2 linked regions of the Diceros bicornis minor genome follow. The protein of the gene in region 1 purifies or fractionates together with the protein of each later gene. This does not show direct contact. Links are inferred from orthologs where the notes say so. Each region holds a gene or a part of one and is shown in the gene's direction. Other genes may lie near its edges.

The links.
Region 2: the proteins of PPP2R2D (region 1) and PPME1 purify together in Homo sapiens (affinity purification with mass spectrometry; 4 studies listed by BioGRID and IntAct, counting the BioPlex papers as one, with this or other methods). This does not show direct contact. The link is inferred for Diceros bicornis minor from reciprocal best matches to the Homo sapiens genes PPP2R2D and PPME1.

What each region holds. Positions count from the first base shown.
Region 1 is NC_080745.1:93,945,500-93,954,861, forward strand, and holds the start of PPP2R2D (serine/threonine-protein phosphatase 2A 55 kDa regulatory subunit B delta isoform), read left to right. Parts: upstream 1-5,125; 5' UTR 5,126-5,207; coding exon 5,208-5,214; intron 5,215-5,759; coding exon 5,760-5,852; intron 5,853-9,362. UniProt on the Homo sapiens protein: Substrate-recognition subunit of protein phosphatase 2A (PP2A) that plays a key role in cell cycle by controlling mitosis entry and exit. Involved in chromosome clustering during late mitosis by mediating dephosphorylation of MKI67.
Region 2 is NC_080746.1:56,784,292-56,792,835, reverse strand, and holds the start of PPME1 (protein phosphatase methylesterase 1), read left to right. Parts: upstream 1-4,862; 5' UTR 4,863-4,971; coding exon 4,972-5,072; intron 5,073-8,544. Other genes in the region: C2CD3 (C2 domain-containing protein 3), read right to left, coding at 1,381-1,650, 4,583-4,652. UniProt on the Homo sapiens protein: Demethylates proteins that have been reversibly carboxymethylated. Demethylates PPP2CB (in vitro) and PPP2CA. Binding to PPP2CA displaces the manganese ion and inactivates the enzyme.

The sequences.
Region 1 (9,362 bases):
GGGACTGTGCAGGGCCCCTCCTGACTGTGCCCCACCCTAGCTGCCCCTCAATGGCCCTTTCTCTCCCAGCACAGACACAGGAGGGTGGGCGGACTCAGCAAGCGGTCTCTCACATTCCCGTCTCACACCTGTGCTTCAGCTTTTCGTCCTGAACTGAACAAACAAGACTTTGAGATTTTGTCCCCAGGTCTACACGGAGGGCTGCCCCTCGGGGAAAAGGAGGCCCCCCCCAGTGGGAGAGGCTCCAGGGGGAGGAAGGAGGCGCAGGCTCAGCACCTCACAGACAACACCATCTGGCTGCAGGTGAGAAGACCTCGGACGCCCACCTGTCTCTGCCTCCAGGTGGGGAGCTTCAAGGGCACGCTGCCGGGGAGCCTGCTATTGCTTTTCTAACAGAGGAAGGAAACACCGAATCTGAAGAGTTGGATTCCTGCCAGTGGGCGGGGCTGTGAGGGAGGCTTGGAAGCCAGAGGGTGGAAGGGTTTGGTGGGCAGGTGAGAGGCTGCAGCCAGGAAGAAGGGGAGACTCCAAGGAGGGCCAAGGGGGTGATGGGAGCATGGGAGGAGAGAATGGGCTACAGGCAGCCATGTGTTTGGAGAGGTAACATCGGAACCCTTGAAAGGGAGCTGAGGGGATGGAATGATGAAGACACTGGCATGAAGCCGTCCCCTAGCCAACCTGCAAAAGGCCCAGGACGGACGACTCTCTGGACAGTAAAACCAGGAACAATTTCTCCACTGTGGCACAGGTTCACCTCGAGTGTTTCCTGTGGCAAAGCAACTGAATCAGCCAGAAGCAGCTGGATGCTTGCCCCGTCCCCCTCCCATCCCCACGCACAGACCCAGCCTGAGAGCGGGTTACGAGCCAGGTCAGTTCACACAGGCCACTGCAGGACGGCGTGATTCTGGCGAGGCAGACGCAGTTTGGGCAGAGGAAGCTCTGGGGTTCTCCCTTTGGTTTGCCCACATCATTGGGGCCTGGGCATCATCCACCACGTTGTTTCACGTTTTATGGTATCTGGGCCCCTCCTTGAGGTCAGACCTGAGCTTAAACTGTAGTCGATGCCGAGTGATTGTGATGCCTGGGCAAGCGACTTAATCTCTCTTAGCCTCAGCTCCCTCATCCAAAAAACGGGATAATAATCCTTAGGTCGTAGGGTTCTGTGAGCCTTAAACGATACACGTGAAGTGCTCAGGGCTGTTCCAGACTCTCGGACAGCATCCATGGTACAGCTGAGAGCACAGACCGATCCCTCCATGCTTGTTCCTGCTGGGCCCTCGGGAGGTGACCCACACCTATGCCCAACAAATACAGACATGGTTAGTGATCGACTGCTTGCACATGGCTACAGCTTCAATGTGTCCACGTGAATCAACGACTGAACTAAATCCTAGACCCACAGACAGCAGAGAACAGCAAGAGGAATGAGTAGCTACGAGTCTGTTTATTTCACACGCACACATTTAGTTTTCTTTTGCTGCCTTAACAAATTACCACAAACTTAATGGCTTAAAACAACACCTGTCTATTATCTCACGGTTCTGGAGGTGGGAAGCCAGCACGAGATGGCCCTGCTGTTCCTGAAACCCTGATGTTCCCTCTACCTTGCTGAGTTCAGCATGGAAAGATTTTTTTTTGAGGAAGGGGGGTTGGGAGAAGGGAGGGGGACAGCCCAATGTGGCAGGGTCAGAGAAGAGAGGCCCAGGAGACAGGAGCAGCATCCGGCGGGGCTTCCTTTTCAATTCAGCAAAGCACAACCAGTCTGGCCATAGCCTCTCCTTCCTTCCTTCTTCCTCCTTCCTTCCTCCCCTCTCTTCTTCTTTCCCTCATTTGTTTTTCTCCTTCCTTCCTTTCCTTCATCATTTGGAGAAAAATTCATGGATCCAATCCTTTTTGGCAGGAGTAAAAAAAAAAGATGGGATGAGTTTAATGCCTTGTTGAGCTCCAGCAGTAAGGAGGCAGGTTATAAAGAGTCAGGGATGTTTACAGCAGATTTATTCATAATTACCAAAACTTGGAAGCAACCAAGACATCTTTCAGTAAGTGAACGGATAAATAATCTGTGGTACATCCAGACAATGGAATATTATTCAACAGTTAAAAGAAATGAGCTACCAAGCCATGAAAAGACATGGAGGAACCTTAAATTACTAAGTGAAAAAAAAGCCAACTCTAAGACGTTCTGGAAAAGGTAAAACTATGGAGACAGTAAAAAGATCAGTGGTTGCCAGGGATGAGTGGGAGGGGTGAAGAGAAAGAGCATAGAGGATTTCTAGGGCAGTGAAAATACTCTGTATGATACTATATTGATGGACACGTCATTATACATTTGTCCAAACCCACAGAATGTACACCACCAAGAGTGAACCCTACTGTAAACTATAGACTTCGGGGGATGATGTGTCAATGCAGGTTCATCCTTTAAAATTTGAGTCATCCCTGTTGTTTGTATGAGTTGTTCATTCCTTTTTATTACTGAGTAGTATTCCCTTGTACGAATACAGGGAGGCTGTAGATTCTAATACAGGCTGGATTCTAGATTCTAATACACACCAGGCATTTCACAATTTGGCTATGAGATCTAAAAATAATAAAACAAGAAAATTGCCTTGCAACACCCAGGGACTTGTAAACACCAGTTAGAATTCAGAGTAACTCACTGAGCTATTTAAAGTTCTTTAGCATCATAAAAAGGAATAGTTAAAAATCTCCTGCTGGGGCCGGCCTGGTGGCTTAGCTGTTAAGTGTGCGCCCTCCGCTACTGGCGGCCCAGGTTCCGATCCCGGGCGCACACCGACCCACCGCTTCTCTGGCCATGCTGAGACCGCGTCCCACATACAGAAGGATGTGCAGCTATGACATACAACTATCTACTGGGGCTTTGGGGAAAAAAAAAGGAAGAGGATTGGCAATAGATGTTAGCTCAGAGCAGGTCTTCCTCAGCAAAAAGAGGAGGATTAGCATGGATGTTAGCTCAGGGCTGATCTTCCTCACAAAAAAAATAAATAAATAAAACATTTAAAAAATAAATAAATAAAAATCTCCTGCTGGTCAGCTGATGCACAGTGGGACACAGGAAGGCAGCTCACTATTTTCACTCACTATATTACTTTTGTTGTTTTTAAATTTAATTTAATGGTAGCTAATTAACCAAAGAATACAGTTTAAACCAAAACTAATTATCTTGCCGTCACTTCAAAAGACTTATCTTTAATACACATTAAAGCAATTGTATATGAGACAGTCTGATAGTTAACTCAGTTTTTCAACTGCTCAGGGGCAGACTGCCTAAATCCACATGTGAAAAAAGGAGATTACAGCCCCATTTCTCTGCTCCTCTTCACAACAAAGGGTCGTCACTCAGTGGCTCCCATTCTTCTCTCACTTGCTCTTAAACCCCTCACACGGGTTTGCAGCGTCCAGTCCACAGCGGCCCCTCCCGTCCAGGTCAGGGATGGCGTCCCAACGCTACAGCCCAGGGGTCCGTCCTCGGCGCTCAGCCCGGCGTCTGGGGGCCGGCCCGCCCTCCCCGTCTGCACCGGGCTGGCACTCCACGCGTCGCGGTCGCCCCGTCCTCGGGCCCATCCGCCCGCCCGCGCGGCGGGGGCTCGCGCGGTCTCTCCGGCTCGCAGAGCTCCCCGACGCGCTCGCCTCCCGGACTCGCCCTCCAGGCCCCGCGTCCCCGCGCGCCCCAGGCTCGTCTGTGCCACGGCCCGGGCCGGCTCCGCAGTTCAGACCCGCCTCCCGGGGTCCCTTCTCGGCACCTCCGTCTCGGGGCCGGGAAAGCCCCTTCCCACCCGCGCTCCGACCCCGAGGGCAGTCATCCTAGGTCCGTCTGCGTCTCACGCGGCACCTGCTTCATCCGTGAGTCCCAGCGCTGTGCCGTCCACAGCCTTCTCGCTGAAACCTGAGCGCTTCCCAGCCCTCTCCCCCGACGCCACGCCCTCGACCACTCGGCCCGCATCCCCGCCTCCATGACCGGCTGACCTCCTCCCTGGGCTCCCCGGTGTGACCCTCGGGTGCCTCGGCCTGTTCTCAGCAGAGCAGCCCCAGCGGCGCCTTAGGGCGCAGGTCAGCCACGACCCCTCCGCTCCCCGCACAGCCCTCCCCGGACGTCGCGGCCGGGCCCGGCCTCCTACGGTCTGTCCGTCACCCGTTTACTTCCGCGGCCCCCCGCTGCGTGTCCCTCCAGCGCCGGCTGACTCACACGTGCCGTCTGCCCCGCTGTCGTCTGTCCCCTAGAGAGCGGGCTCCCCGAGGGCCGGCTCTCTGCCGTCGCCGCCGCCCCCTGGACGGGACGGGACGCGCGCCCGAGGCAGCAGCGGATCCGCCCACGGCGCTCGCGGCGCCGACTGGCCCTGGCTCGGACGGCCGTCTGCTGGGGGGTACGCCAGCAGTCACGCCGGTGACTGCAAGCTCACGTCACCGAAAGGACACACAAACGGGGGGTACGGATACCCCCCGTACGCCACGGACACACGCCCACGAATGAAGCGACGATGGCCACGGGGAGCCGCAACAGCGAACGTTTGCCTAAGATCGTACGGCAGTGTTGTAGACAACGCGAGCTCTGCGCAGGGCCGCCAGCGAAGGCGGACGCCGACGCCCCCGGACTCGCGTCCGAGGAGAGGGACTGGCAGCCCGGCCAGGGGGTGGGCCGGGAGGACGCGCTCAGGTGCGGCGCGCTGCAGGTGCGGGGCCGGCCCGGACGCTCCGCCCGCCGACGTCGAGCGCGTCCCCATTGGCTGCTCCGCGGGGAGGGGCGGGGCCGCCTCCAGGCTTCCGGTAACTCCCCCGGAGCAAGGCGGGCGGCCGACGGCGGCCCCGGGGCTGGTCTTCAGGGTAGCGCCGGGCCGGGGCGGTGCCAAGCCCGGGTCAGGGGGCGGGGCGCGGCTCGCGCAGGCGCAGTCGGTGCGTGGCGCGCCCCCGGCAGCCCCCGCGGCCGCGCGCCCCGTCCCGCCCCGCAGGGCGCAGGGGAGCTCTCCCGGCGGCCCCGCCCCGCCCGCGGCCCGCGGCGGAGGCGGAGGGGGATGACGTCATCGAGCGGGGCGACGGCCATTGGGCGCCATTTTGAAAAGGGAAAAATCCCTCCCTGGCGGCGGCGGCGGCGCCGGCGGCGGCCGGGCTGAGGTGCTCGGACGGCAACAGCGCGGAGGCCGCCTCTTCCCTCCGCCGCCGTCTCGGCGCCCGCCCGCTGGCCGCCGGCCATGGCAGGTGAGAGGGCCGCGCGGGGTGGGCCGAGGGCACCGGGCAGAAGCGGGGGGCGCGGGGTGCAGGAACGAGGGGGTGCGGGGGGCAGGAGGTGGGGCGCGGGGGGCGCCGGGGCAGGAGCTGGGGGCGCCGGGGGAGTGGGGGGCGCTGGAGCAGGACCTGGGGGCAGGAGTGGGGCAGCAGCAGGGGGGCGCGGGGGGCAGGAGCGGGGGGCGCCGGGGCAGGAGTGGGGTGCAGGAGCGGGGGGCGCGGGGTGCAGGAGCGGGGGGCTCCGGGGCAGGAGTGGGGTGCAGGAGCGGGGTGCGCCGGGGCAGGAGCTGGGGGAGCCGGGGAAGGAGTGGGGGGCGCGGGGTGCAGGAGTGGGGGGCGCCGGAGCAGGAGCTGGGGGCAGGAGTGGGGCAGCAGCGGGGGGGGGGCGGGGGGCAGGAGCGGGGGGCGCGGGGTGTAGGAGCGGGGCGCCGGGGGCAGGAGCGGGGGGCGTGGGGCAGGAGCAGGGGGCGCGGGGCAGGAGCGAGGGGCGCGGGTGCTGACGCCGGGTGTGTTCGCAGGGGCCGGGGGCGGCGGCTGCCCCGCGGGCGGCAACGACTTGCAGTGGTGCTTCTCGCAGGTCAAGGGGGCCATCGACGAGGACGTGGCCGAAGGTGAGGTGGCGCACCTGGGCTCAGGGCGGGCGGGCTTCCTCGCCCCGGGCCGACCCCACGTGCTCTTCCCGGCCCGGCCCTCCTGGGACCCCGGTCCCGGGGCCCCTCCCGCCCGGTGGAGCTGTGTCGGGGCGCGTGTCCTGCGCACCGCGCTGTGAGCGTGTGCACCGGGGTCCAGTCCATAGACAGGAGACAGGCCCGCAGGGGTTATGTAAGGAGCCCAAGGTCACGGAGGCTGCAGGGATCTCGGTCTTCCGAGTGGGTTCTGGGTTCTTCACATTGCAAGTGGCTGCTTCCTGCATTTGGTGGAACTGCGGAAATAATTGCAGAAATTGGGGACTCGAGAAACATAAAATTGGGATAACTGCAGAAAAGCAAGAGTGGAGTGGGCAGTGGTCCTGGACTAGGTCGGGAGGCCTCACTTCTAGACCCAAGCTTTCTGTAATCACCTGTGTACTCTTGGGCACGCTGTTTTGCCTCAGTTTCTTCATCTTTAAAAAGGAGGTTGGACCGCTTGATCCTTAAGGTCGCTTTCTAAGGTACTAAAATTCTTGAAGTTTGTTAGCGATTCCTTCTCCCTCTCCAGTGATGTATTTTAAAGTTCAGACTGCAGATTTTACCTTTAACCTTATCGTATTACTTGAAGTTGGTTGGTCTTTTCCTTAATCATAGCCTTGAACTAGCCAAGGCGCATAGTTGTAGGGTGTTGGGCCGGAAGCTGGGGACTGTCTCCTGCCGCAGTTTCCCACAAAGCTACATGCCATCTTAAAGTGTAAACCACCTCTCTTTCCCGTGTTCACAGCCGAATGCAAAGCTGATTCTTAGCAACTCAGAGGTTTCATTAGAGCTTTAGAGTGACTTTTTATTGTTCAGCCATTTAAGTGAGCGCTGCGAACCTTTAACATTCTCTTGAAAACGAGTTGTCTTTCCACGAAGTGCCCCTTCCTTGCCCCAAGTAGCTAACAGCCTCTAGTCAGCTGTCTTGCCACTTTTCCTCCACCTTGGCCCCTCCCATGACCTTTTGCTCCCTCCTTCTCCACCCTGCACCTCTCCCTGGCAGTATGACAGTCTGGAGGCCCTTGGCCCCATCGGACAAACAGTACCCGGATTATTAAGCAAGTAAAACTGTGCTGTAAGGAATTTGTAAAGATGTATATGGTTTGAGATTGAAACTGGGTGATTTTATATAAACTAAATAGTGTATTGATTCTGTTTCTTTTATATTCATTTAAGATATACTACTTTTTTTTTTTCATTTTGCATGTGGCACATGGGTGACACTCAAAATTTCTATTGGGAGTAAAGCAAAACCTGTTTGTTTAGGGGTAGGGAGGTGGAACGGCTTAATGCCTGTCTTAATTTCTGGTTTCTTTCCCTTTTTATGGCTTTTGTTGACAAGCTGAATGAATTAAAACTTATCTCTAACTAAAATGGTGTATTTTAAGTGATGTTAAACTTTGAAAACAGTATTCTTCCTTAAAAAAAATCTTGACAGAAATATTCTGTTCTCAGAATTAAACTAACTGGGACTTTTTGCGGTTTTAAACCCTTTCTTCAAGTAAAGTTTTGAATACATCTAAAAGTTTGGTGTTTCGAGTTATCTTTTCTGTAAGATTGCTTTGTAGTAATTACTCCTATGTTTTTTGATTGCTGTATGTATTCAGAGCTTTCTGTCTTAATCCACTTATGCTTTGGCGTTAGTAACCCGTTGGGGCTAGCATATTCATAACTCGTCATCCTTTTGTCGAGTAGTTGTGAGAGTGTTCATTTGGATTGTATTATTACCGTAAAAGTCGGTGATAAAGAAGGAGAGCGTAATTGTTAGCAACTACTGATTGTTAAGCAATGAGAATAAAGAAGCTGGCTGTGCCCAAACTCAACCTTGATGAAGAAAGGTGGATAAGAGATAAATAGGAGATGAGTAATTTAAGGGAGGTTATTGTACACTGATAGCTGGGCTGTAAAACCTAAGGTATAGAAAATTGACTTGTTTAGGTTTGTGGTTTGTGAGGTGTTTTGTTCTTGAAGGTTTTGTTCTGCTTTAGGCTCTGCTTTGAAGAGTTCCACTGTAACCCTGCACTTTGGACCGTCTTTCTGCTTTCGTCTGCAATGGGTGATCGGAAAGTGAGTGAGATGGAGGCGAGGGTCCTCTCCTTACCTGAGTGAGGACAGCGCCTAGTGAGCGTGAGGTGGTGCCAGGGGTACATGTGACTCCCCTGATTTGAAGATTGAGGAATGAGTACAGTGGAGAGAGGATTGTGATTTCCTTTTGGTTTTTAAAACTAATAGGTTGGGGGGACTTGAATCATAACTCCTGAAGAAAGTATTGTGTGTGTAAAATTGGATGGCTTTTTTCCTTTTGTAAAGAATAGGGTTTTGCTTGTGGGTCAGGTCAGCCATGGTGCTATCAGGGATTTCCCATCTCCCTGCAAGTAGGAGTGCTGGGCTCAAAAGGAAATTAGTGACTGTCCTGCTGGTGACAAGATGCATGAGTGACAGTCACTGGTCACTTGCCTCTCTCCCCTTCCCCTAACAGCAAGCTGGCTGTGCCTGTAGTCATCACCCCTGAAGGTGGAGTGGGTGAACTTTTATGCCTAGATGAGCAAGAGTCAAAATAGTGAAGCCAGGGGGAGGCTTCCAGAAGAAGCGAGAAGTTGTTTCTTAGCCTGTGCCTCCAAATACTTAGGCCCTACATGGTGACACCTTGTGGGAAGTTGTTGACTGTGCAGGTTTTTTGTGCGTGACATTTAGGCACCATCACCCAGCCCCTGCTCCCCTTCCTGGGACAGCTTGCACTGGGTGAACATCTTTTGCAGATGTCACACGATATCATAGTCCCTGGCTTGTCTGTCTTCAATAGAGTCTGAGCTTCTCAAGCTTGAAGCTTGAAGAGGACCCAGTCTGGAGGTGGTGATGGCTCACAGTTGTTGAGTCTTGTTTTGTTCCAGAGATTGCTCCAAGTCACCCGGGTCCATTAATCCAACCTTCACACCACCCTCAGAGGGAGGAACTCTTGTTCTTCTTAGTTTTAGATGCAGGAGCCAAGGCACAGAGGGCAGTTAACGTGGTGAGCAGCCACGTTATATGGCAGAGCCAGGGTTTGAAGCCAGGCCAACTGGCTCCAGAGCCCATGAGTGCTGTACTGCTTCAGTGGCTATTTGCGGCCAGTACTGATGAAGCCCCCACTGTGGGATGTGGCCACCCAACCTTGGGATTGCTCTGTCCTTCTAAAGCTCAGGAGAGATCTCACCACCAGGACTTGTAGGAAATTGCCTCGGAAAACAAATGAAAATGAGATGCCAGTAAAGGAAGTGCCTGTGAAAATGATGTAAGGTTAGTAACAAGGGTTCGAGAATGGCCATTCTCAAACGATTTGAAGAATAGATATCACAGAGAGAGAGAGAGTAACTGAGCACACTTTGCCTGCCTGTCCCCTGAACACGACTGTGGTTGCCTTCCTGCAGGGCAGCGCTGTGCAGGAGTTGCTTTTCTGGAGAAATGGTGGGGAGG
Region 2 (8,544 bases), on another chromosome or scaffold:
CTTTTTGCTGAGGAAGATTGGCCCTGGGCTAACACCCACGCCTATCTTCCTCCAGTTTATATGGGACGCCGCCACAGCATGGCTTGACAAGCAGTGTGTTGGTGCGTGCCCTGGATCCGAACCGGCAAACCCCGGGCCGCCGCAGCAGAGCGCACACACTTAACCGCTTGCACCACTGGGCTGGCCCTCGATCCCATTTTATAGATGAGGAAAATGGGGGTCAAAAATGGGAAGGGACTTTCCCAAAATCCCAAAGGTAGTAACACCAACCTAAACATCATATGCCAAGTCTAATGCATTCTGTATTATCCCAGAGGATTCACAAATAAATGTCTGACCTGTTGATTATCATATTAATAGACATCTTCTCTCTTACTGAAGAATTTCTAATCACTCTTCATTTGTTAAATTATATCAGAATACCACCAGTGGATTTAAGTTTTATGTGTACAGTACCCAGAGTACCTATGGGTATCCTTTAATAGCACTTATCACTTTCTACCTAGTATTGTAACTAAACTTCTCTGTGAACTTAGTTAGAATTAGATACCATTCTGGTTAAATTTTTAAATTCATTTTTGTAAGCCCCACGGTGCCTAGCACAACGTCCAGCACACGTGGATCCTGTAAATCCCTGTAGAGGGACCCTTCCTTTCTCTGAAAACCTGTATTACTCACTTACTAAACCACTCATTTGGCATTTAGCATGTATTATCTTGTACTATTAGTAAATTTTATATCTATATCTTCTTTCTTTGAGCATAAGGAAAGTAAGACCCAGAGCAGAGACTGCAGTTATTACTTAAAGCATGGCACGCTGAGAAGTGCACGAGTTTTGGCGTCAGACAGAACTGGGTTCAAATCCTAGTTTTGCCATTTATCAACTATGTAACCTTAGAGAATATTCATTTCATCTCTCTGAACCTCAGTTTCATTATCTATAAAACAGAGAAAATACCTATCTTGCAGTCGTTAAGGATTAGAAATAATATGTATCAACTGCTAGCATATAGTATACTCTCAATAAATAGTGGCTATTATAAAACCTCTTTGACTCCTCAACAATTAACAATGCCAGGGCCGGCCCCGTGGCTTAGCGGTTAAGTGCTCGCGCTCTGCTGCTGGCGGCCCGGGGTTGAATCCCGGGTGCGCACCGAGGCACTGCTTCTCTGGCCATGCTGAGGCCGTGTCCCACATACAGCAACTAGAAGGATGTGCAACTATGACATACAACTATCTACTGGGGCTTTGGGGGAAAAATAAATTAATTAAAAAAAAAAAACAATGCCATAGATACTAGATACACGATAACACCTACTGCTAACAACATAATCACGTGCTTATTAGGCCTGCAGGTGAAATGATAAGACAAAAATATACCTGTCAGATAGGAGGTAAACTGCTTTGGACCACAGCGAATAGCATAACGTGTAGTTGTTCTCACAGCTTTTGGTTCAGTCTGCAATGTATCTCTGGGAGAAAAGAGGGTTCCATCTGATGTTTCTCCCCACCATCTCACTCGGACAAGTACACAAGTGGGAGGCTTTGCAATCTTCCAGATGACTTTACTAACAGTAAGTTTCAGAAAGCAGCGTAGCTGGCCTTCGACCAGAGGTGGTAGGCTTGTAGATGGAGAAATGTCACTCAAACCTGTGGAGGAATCCAAGAACACTAAGTCAAAATGCAGACTACATACAGAAAACATATAACCTGCTTTTTGAATGAAAACACACAAAAACATTTTAGTCTCTACAGAAAGAAGGTTTATCCTACCTATTCTAATACAGGAGAAGTAACTAGCAAACCAGACCAAAGAATAACCTATATGGTCACTGAAGCCACTCTGATAACTAATTAGTATTTATGGTTTGATTCAGGTTATTGTAAGTAAAGAACACACCAATTTAAGACATGCTAATATGAACACCTCTTTAATTGAAAGACACCATTTGAAAAATACAAATATAGGGCCGGCCCCGTGGCTTAGCGGTTAAGTGCACGTGCTCCGCTGCTGGCGGCCTGGGTTCGGATCCCAGGCGTGCACCGATGCACCGCTTCTCCGGCCATGCTGAGGCCGTGTCCCACATACAGCAACTAGAAGGATGTGCAACTACGACATACAACTATCTACTGGGGCTTTGGGGAAAAAGAAAGAAATAAATAAAATTATAAAAAAAAAAAAAGAAAAATACAAATATAATAATACAGTAGATAGGTCTCTAAAATCTCAAAAGTAGTTGAAATTTTTCTTCTAAGTACTGTTGTTTTGATTATTGCAATGTCCACGGTTATGTTATCTTTACCTAACTCTCTTACTTTAAAAACATCATTAAATATAAAACAGCAACAACTCCCTTTACTCGACTCGCAAATGATTCAGTCTATACCACACAACTCAGCATTTCAGCAACGTCCACCTTAAATTGGCTATGTCTTTTCTTTCCTGCCAACAACATACAGTCAATGGGGATAGAGACTATCCTCTTCAGATTCTACCACTATTTTCTAGCACAGTTCTCAGTTAACAATATTTATCGGCTTTTATAATATTTATTGGATTTCAAACAGATCATAAAATCTACATGAGGCAACTAATCATGACTTTCTATAAAACTTTCCATTAATGACCCTGATTGTCTTCCAATCACAGTATCTTCTAACCATGATTTAGAGGAGATTTAAGAAACCATTCCTGTTACACACACCTTTCTATGCCTCTAACTTCTCCCTTGGGGAGTGGTCATGGCACACAAGAAGAAAATAACTGGAGTCTATCAGATCAGGAATGTATATAACTAATTCTATGGATTCCTCTGCTCTTTACAGTGGTGAAAAGACCCATCATAATCTTTATGGATAACTAGTTTCAATATAAAAATTATATAAAGGTGTGTATATGAACATTACTGCATATGCATGTGGTATAGCAAGAAGGACATTCTTATGTTATTTCTATTTTGATTTTCCTCCTATCAACCAAATATTCTTGACCGGTTTGACACAGGGAGCACCAGTATTGAACACTTCCATGCTTCTGTCTCATATCCTCCCATCATTCTGGCAGGAAAGACGCTGCCTCAAAACTGCCTTAGTTATCTTTAAACAGCTTGGATAAGATTCATTCCCAGACTGTAGCTTCAGTCCTCAACCTAAGGGCCTAATGTACTATTATTATTCCTAACGCCCCTTTGCCTATAATGTAAAAAGGCAGAGTTGCCCAATGTTTTTTTTTTTTTTTTGAGGCAGCTCTGTAGAGGTTCAATTTCCAGTTTCCCGATCTGCCCTGGGTTCCTGGGGTGACTGTTCTTGCTGCAGCTAACATTTCCCTACTCCCTTGGTGAGCTTGTTTCTCCTTGAGATTTCTAACCTGATAAAAGTCCTCTTGCTACACATGCTTTCATCTCAATCCTCCAGAGATCCTCATGCCTTCACCTCCACCCCACCCTTTCTTCCTCTCTCCTCCACAACTATCTTTCCCAACTCCCGCCTATAGCCTTTCATGCTGCATGACTGTCTCAGGCTTCACTCATTCAAATAACATTTACCGAGTCCTGCTTTGTGCTAGTTCTTGGGGATTCAGTAATGTATAAAACGTGATCCTTGCCTATTAGGATTACTGACATATTTGCCTCTCCAACTAATGTTTCTTCCATTCCCATGTGGACCTCCAAAGCTATATCCTCCCCCCAACACACACACACACACATTTAACTGTTATCAAAAACACTCCTGAATCATGGGAATGTAATGTACAGCACAGTGACTATAGTTAATAACAGTGTACTGTGTATTTGAAAGCTGCTAAAAGAGCAGACCTTAAAAGTTCTCATCACAAGAAAAAAAATTTTTTTTGTAACCCCGTATGGTGATGGATGCTACCTAGAGCTACTGTCGTGACCATTTTGCAATATATAAAAATACCCAATCATTATGTTGTACACCTGAAAAGAACATAATGCTATGTCAATTATATCTCAAAAAAAAAACATTCCTAGAATTTTTTTGTGCCCTTCCTCGAGAAATGTCCTACATGTATCCTTTTAGCCCTCACCTAGCCACATTTATTCGCCCACTTTGGCCCCCACTTCAGCCCCTACCTACTTCCTTTCCATTTGCTGGAGGGCCAACTGCCCTCTCTTTTAACCTTCTCCTTCCTGGTTATTCTCTCTTCTCCGTCTTTTTTCTTTTTTTCTTAGAGGCGGGTGTGGGGGTCTCCCTCGAATTCCTTACACCCTGCTCCCCTAACTCAACCCTGTTAACCTTTCCTCAACATTTGGTCTCTCAGGTTACCTCTCTTCTTGCGGCCACGGCCGCCCCCAGGCCCTTGGCCTTTTCGTTGTTTCATGACGAGCCCGAGCTCTTCTTCACCAGCTCAACTCCTGCCCCAGCACCTAACCCGTAGCCTCCCGCCATCGTTTCCCACGGCGCCCGCGTTCCCCGGCAACCGGCGCCGCTGGGCAGCCTGGGAGGCAGGAAGAAGCGGCTCTTCCTTTAACAGTCTCTGAGAACCGGGGAAAAGGGAAGGCGCCAAGACTCTTTCCCGGCAACAGACTACAACACCCAGGATGCTTTGCTCTACTACCTCTGCGAGGTTGGACGCTGTCGCCTCCACTCGCGCAAGCGCAAAGGGATACGCCCGATGAGAACTCCATTGCCCAGGGTGCATTGTCTTCAGGAGCGTTTCTCTCTCGGGGGAGGATCGTCGCGTTCTCCGCTGGGGGTCTGAGGTGTCCTCAGACTCCGTTACCCAGCTCCCTTTGTGGAGGGCTGTTGCGCACTTCCGGTGGAAGCGCAGGGGGGGAGGGGGTGGGGCTTACGGAGCCGGTGGGCGGTGGGCGGTGCTGCCGGTAGCTGGGTGCTGTCCAAAGGCGACAGGGCGTCGCTTAGGGGAGAGAGCTGTGACCGGTTGGGCCGCACTTAGCGTGGGACGAAGCTTCGACTACTGTTTTAACTACCTGCGGCCTCCCCTTCATGTCGGCCCTCGAGAAGAGCATGCACCTCGGCCGCCTGCCCTCTCGCCCTCCTCTACCCGGCAGCGGGGGCAGTCAGAGCGGAGCCAAGATGCGAATGGGGTACGTGACTCGTACCCCTTCCCCCTGGCGGCCAGGCCCCGGCCATTGGAGAATGGTGTCTCTGGGCGTTGAGAACGGCAGGCAAGGGAGGCTGCGGCTAGGAGAGAATGTTAGGGGCGGCCTGAGACGTTTGGATGGAGTAGAAGGCAGATTTGGGGACTAGGGGAGGCGCCAAGTCAATGGAAACTGGAGGACAAATAGTATTAAGTGAGAAGGGAATGAGGCAAAGATTGAGGAAGCTGAGAGGGTAATTTAAGAGAGGTAGGAGGCACCTCCAGAAGGAGGTGTGGAGGAGGGTGGAGGAAGGGGAGCAGAGCGGTGACAAAGGTGGTGGGAATCTGCCAGGGAGGGTTGAGGGAAATGGGGAATGACTGAGAAGAGTTGAGGGGACTTAGGGGAACTACTAGGAAAAGATTTGGAAGGAGTAAGACTGAGAACTAGATATTAGAAAAGCTGAGGGAAATAGAGAACACCTGAGGCAGGGTTGGAGAAGGAAAGAGAGCTAGGAGCAGAAGGTTCTAGAGCGAGTTCCTAGAGGTGTAAGAGGCAGATTCAGGGAGTGAGGGGGTGACTAGGAGATTAGGTCTTTTAGGAGAGAAAAGCTTGGGAAACAGGCCTAAGGAAAGATGGAGAACATAGCCAAGAAGACCATTAAGGATAATAGGAATGTGCTGAAAAGTGAGGGTAGGACATAAGGGGAGTCACGAGGGAGAGGGCTGAGTAGCTTAGAGAGTGGCCATGGGCTCTGGAAATTGAGAAGTGAGTAGGAATAGGGTTTAGTGAGTGGGAGTGCTGCAGAGAGGTAACGTCTGGGAAGCTTAGAGAGGAAGATTTGGGCAGTTGACTTTTGCTGGGCAAATAGGTCTGATGGAAGCTGTGTACTGGGTTTGATAAGACTCAGGTAAGACTCAGAATTAATGAAGTATTGAGAGTAGCCACTTAAAATGTTTTGGGGGAAACTTTACTGGGAAGGGAGGGGCTGTGTTGAAGAGAGAGGCTTTTGGAATTTTAGGTTGTTGAATGGCTTGTGCCAGGTTAGGGTTTATTTAGGTGTGGGAGAGAGAGTATAATGAGTTGAAAATGGGAGAGGGATTGCTGGAAAGCACAGAGAACTGAATTGGCAGTTGGTTTTGGGTGGTATTTGTGGTATCAGACAGGATTCTGGAAACTAGTGATTGTAAAGAGAAAAGGGGTAGGAAGAATACTTAGGTATGAGGTAGTCAAGAGTGTGTGTTTGGGATTCTAGAGATAGGTTGGTAGATATTCTTGGAATAAGAACTAGAGAAGAGAAACCTTAGGTTCTGAAGAAGTAATATGTACAAAAACTGATCAAAAAAGAGATGAGGATAGGAAATGCAGTACTGTAAAAGTAGGTCTTAGGAATGAAGAGAAAGGAGAGTCCTATAAATTAAAACCATGGGGTTGAGGGGTGGTGAGAATGATTGGAAAAACCAGGGAAAAAAACTAAGAATCAAAGTGGGGACCTAACTATGATACTCAGTAGAAAAATGGGAAAACTTTGACAGAAGATAGGTTGATGGATGCACAATAGAAAGAGGTGGTAGAAGGCTGCATATAAGGTAAAATGAAGATTGTTTTGGCTTTGGAAGACAGAAAGGTAGGAGTGTTAACATGAATAAGGTGGATCTGGAAACTGATCCATAACAGATTATTTGGGAAAATTAACCTGGAGTATAAAATTAATGTAACAGTTATTGTTGATATTTATCTTAGTTGCTGCCTTTCTTAAACTAAAATTTGATCTTTAAGTATACCAGCACTCTTTTGTAAAAATATATAAACTATTAGCTTTTTAATATCTACACATGCTTTACATAAGTTTAGAACTCAGCTTCTCACTTTGTCAAAACAAGTTCTCTGAAGATGAAGAACTGAGGAAAAATGCTAAGAGAAAATAAAGGGAAAATCTTCTGATTAGAAGATTGTATACTTGTTAGTAACTTATCCTCCTTAAATAGATGCTTTGGTCTTCTTAATTTAGGTTAACTGCTTATCCTGAAAAATAAAGTTCTTTAGAAAGATGCTTCTTTATAGTATTGTGAAGAGAAGAGCATATGTTGGTGAATTTTATGTGGTCCTCAAGTGGCTTATTTTCCTTTTCTTCTTCCTTATGGAAACGTAAGCAGGCCTCATCTAATTCTAAGGTTAGTAATAATATAGACTCTGTCCCCTCTAGAATCATAAAACTAGAAGAGAGCTTTGAAATGATCTCATCTCACTACTTGACTGTATAGTTAAGGAAACTGAGACTCAGTTTACCTTGCAGAATACAGAATTCTCTAAGAGGCAGGGGACAGTATTTCCTCTTGATAACTGAGAAAACTGAAACTCAAATCTTCCTCATACTAAGACACCCTAGAAGCTTAGTGGTGGGGCCACTGAGGACTAGGACTTGGATCTCTTGCCTCTGGGACCCATTGTGTTTTTTAGATTCGTAGTTGTTATCCTGGCAATACTTACTTTAAGTTGTTTATCTTTTTCCTTTGCAAATACTATAGAGTTCAGTCTTTCTTTTTCCTCAGTCAGTCCTGATTTATGAACTCTCACTTCCACCAATTGCAAAGCATCCTTCTTTCTTTCTCCTTCTCACTTGCCTTTTTTCTTATCTTCCCATCTTTTTCCACTCCCACATCTGTGTGTTACTCAAGATGGGCCTGTTCCTTTGACAGTGTATTATATGACTTACTCTTTCAGCTATTTTTCATAATCTCTTGCCTTCAATTTCACTAAACCTTATTTAGATGTGTTTGCATATTCAGGGTGGTTTTGAGTTCATGATTTTTCTTGAGTTTCCATAATTTAGTTTTTCAAATTGAACTTAGTAGTTCCAGAGTATTGCTGGATAATGTAATAATAGCAATTACCGTTTTTTTCCTCAGTAAGTACAATGTGCCAGGTATTGTAGTAGTAGTTTTATGTATGTTATTTTATTTAATCTGCCCATAACCAGGCAAGGTAGGTATTTCCCTGAATTTATAAATAAGGAAATTCAGACTTGGAGATTCAAGATTACGCTACTAGTATGTGGCAGAACCAGGATTCAATCTAGGGTTAGTCTCTAGAATCTATTCCCTCTTCGGAACACCAACACTTTCTCTTGGGTAAGGCCTGAAATCCTGGTTTTATTGTTCCTTGATAGATGCCAGTAGACGATGCCAAAAACAGTGATTTTGAACTTTTTTATTAAAGCTTTTGGAGCTACTCTGATTTGGGATCCCCACTTGCAACTGGTATCTTAGTTCATTAGGGTTGCCATAACAAAAATGCCGTAGACTGGCTGGCTTATAAACAACAGAAATTTATTTCTCACAGTTCTGGAGGCTGGGAATTCCAAGAGCAAGGTGCCAGCAGATTCTGTATCTGGTGAGGACCACTTTCTGGTTCATAGACAACAGTCTTCTAGATGTGTCCTCACAGGGCTCTGTGGGGTCCAGTTGTTGTAACACCATTT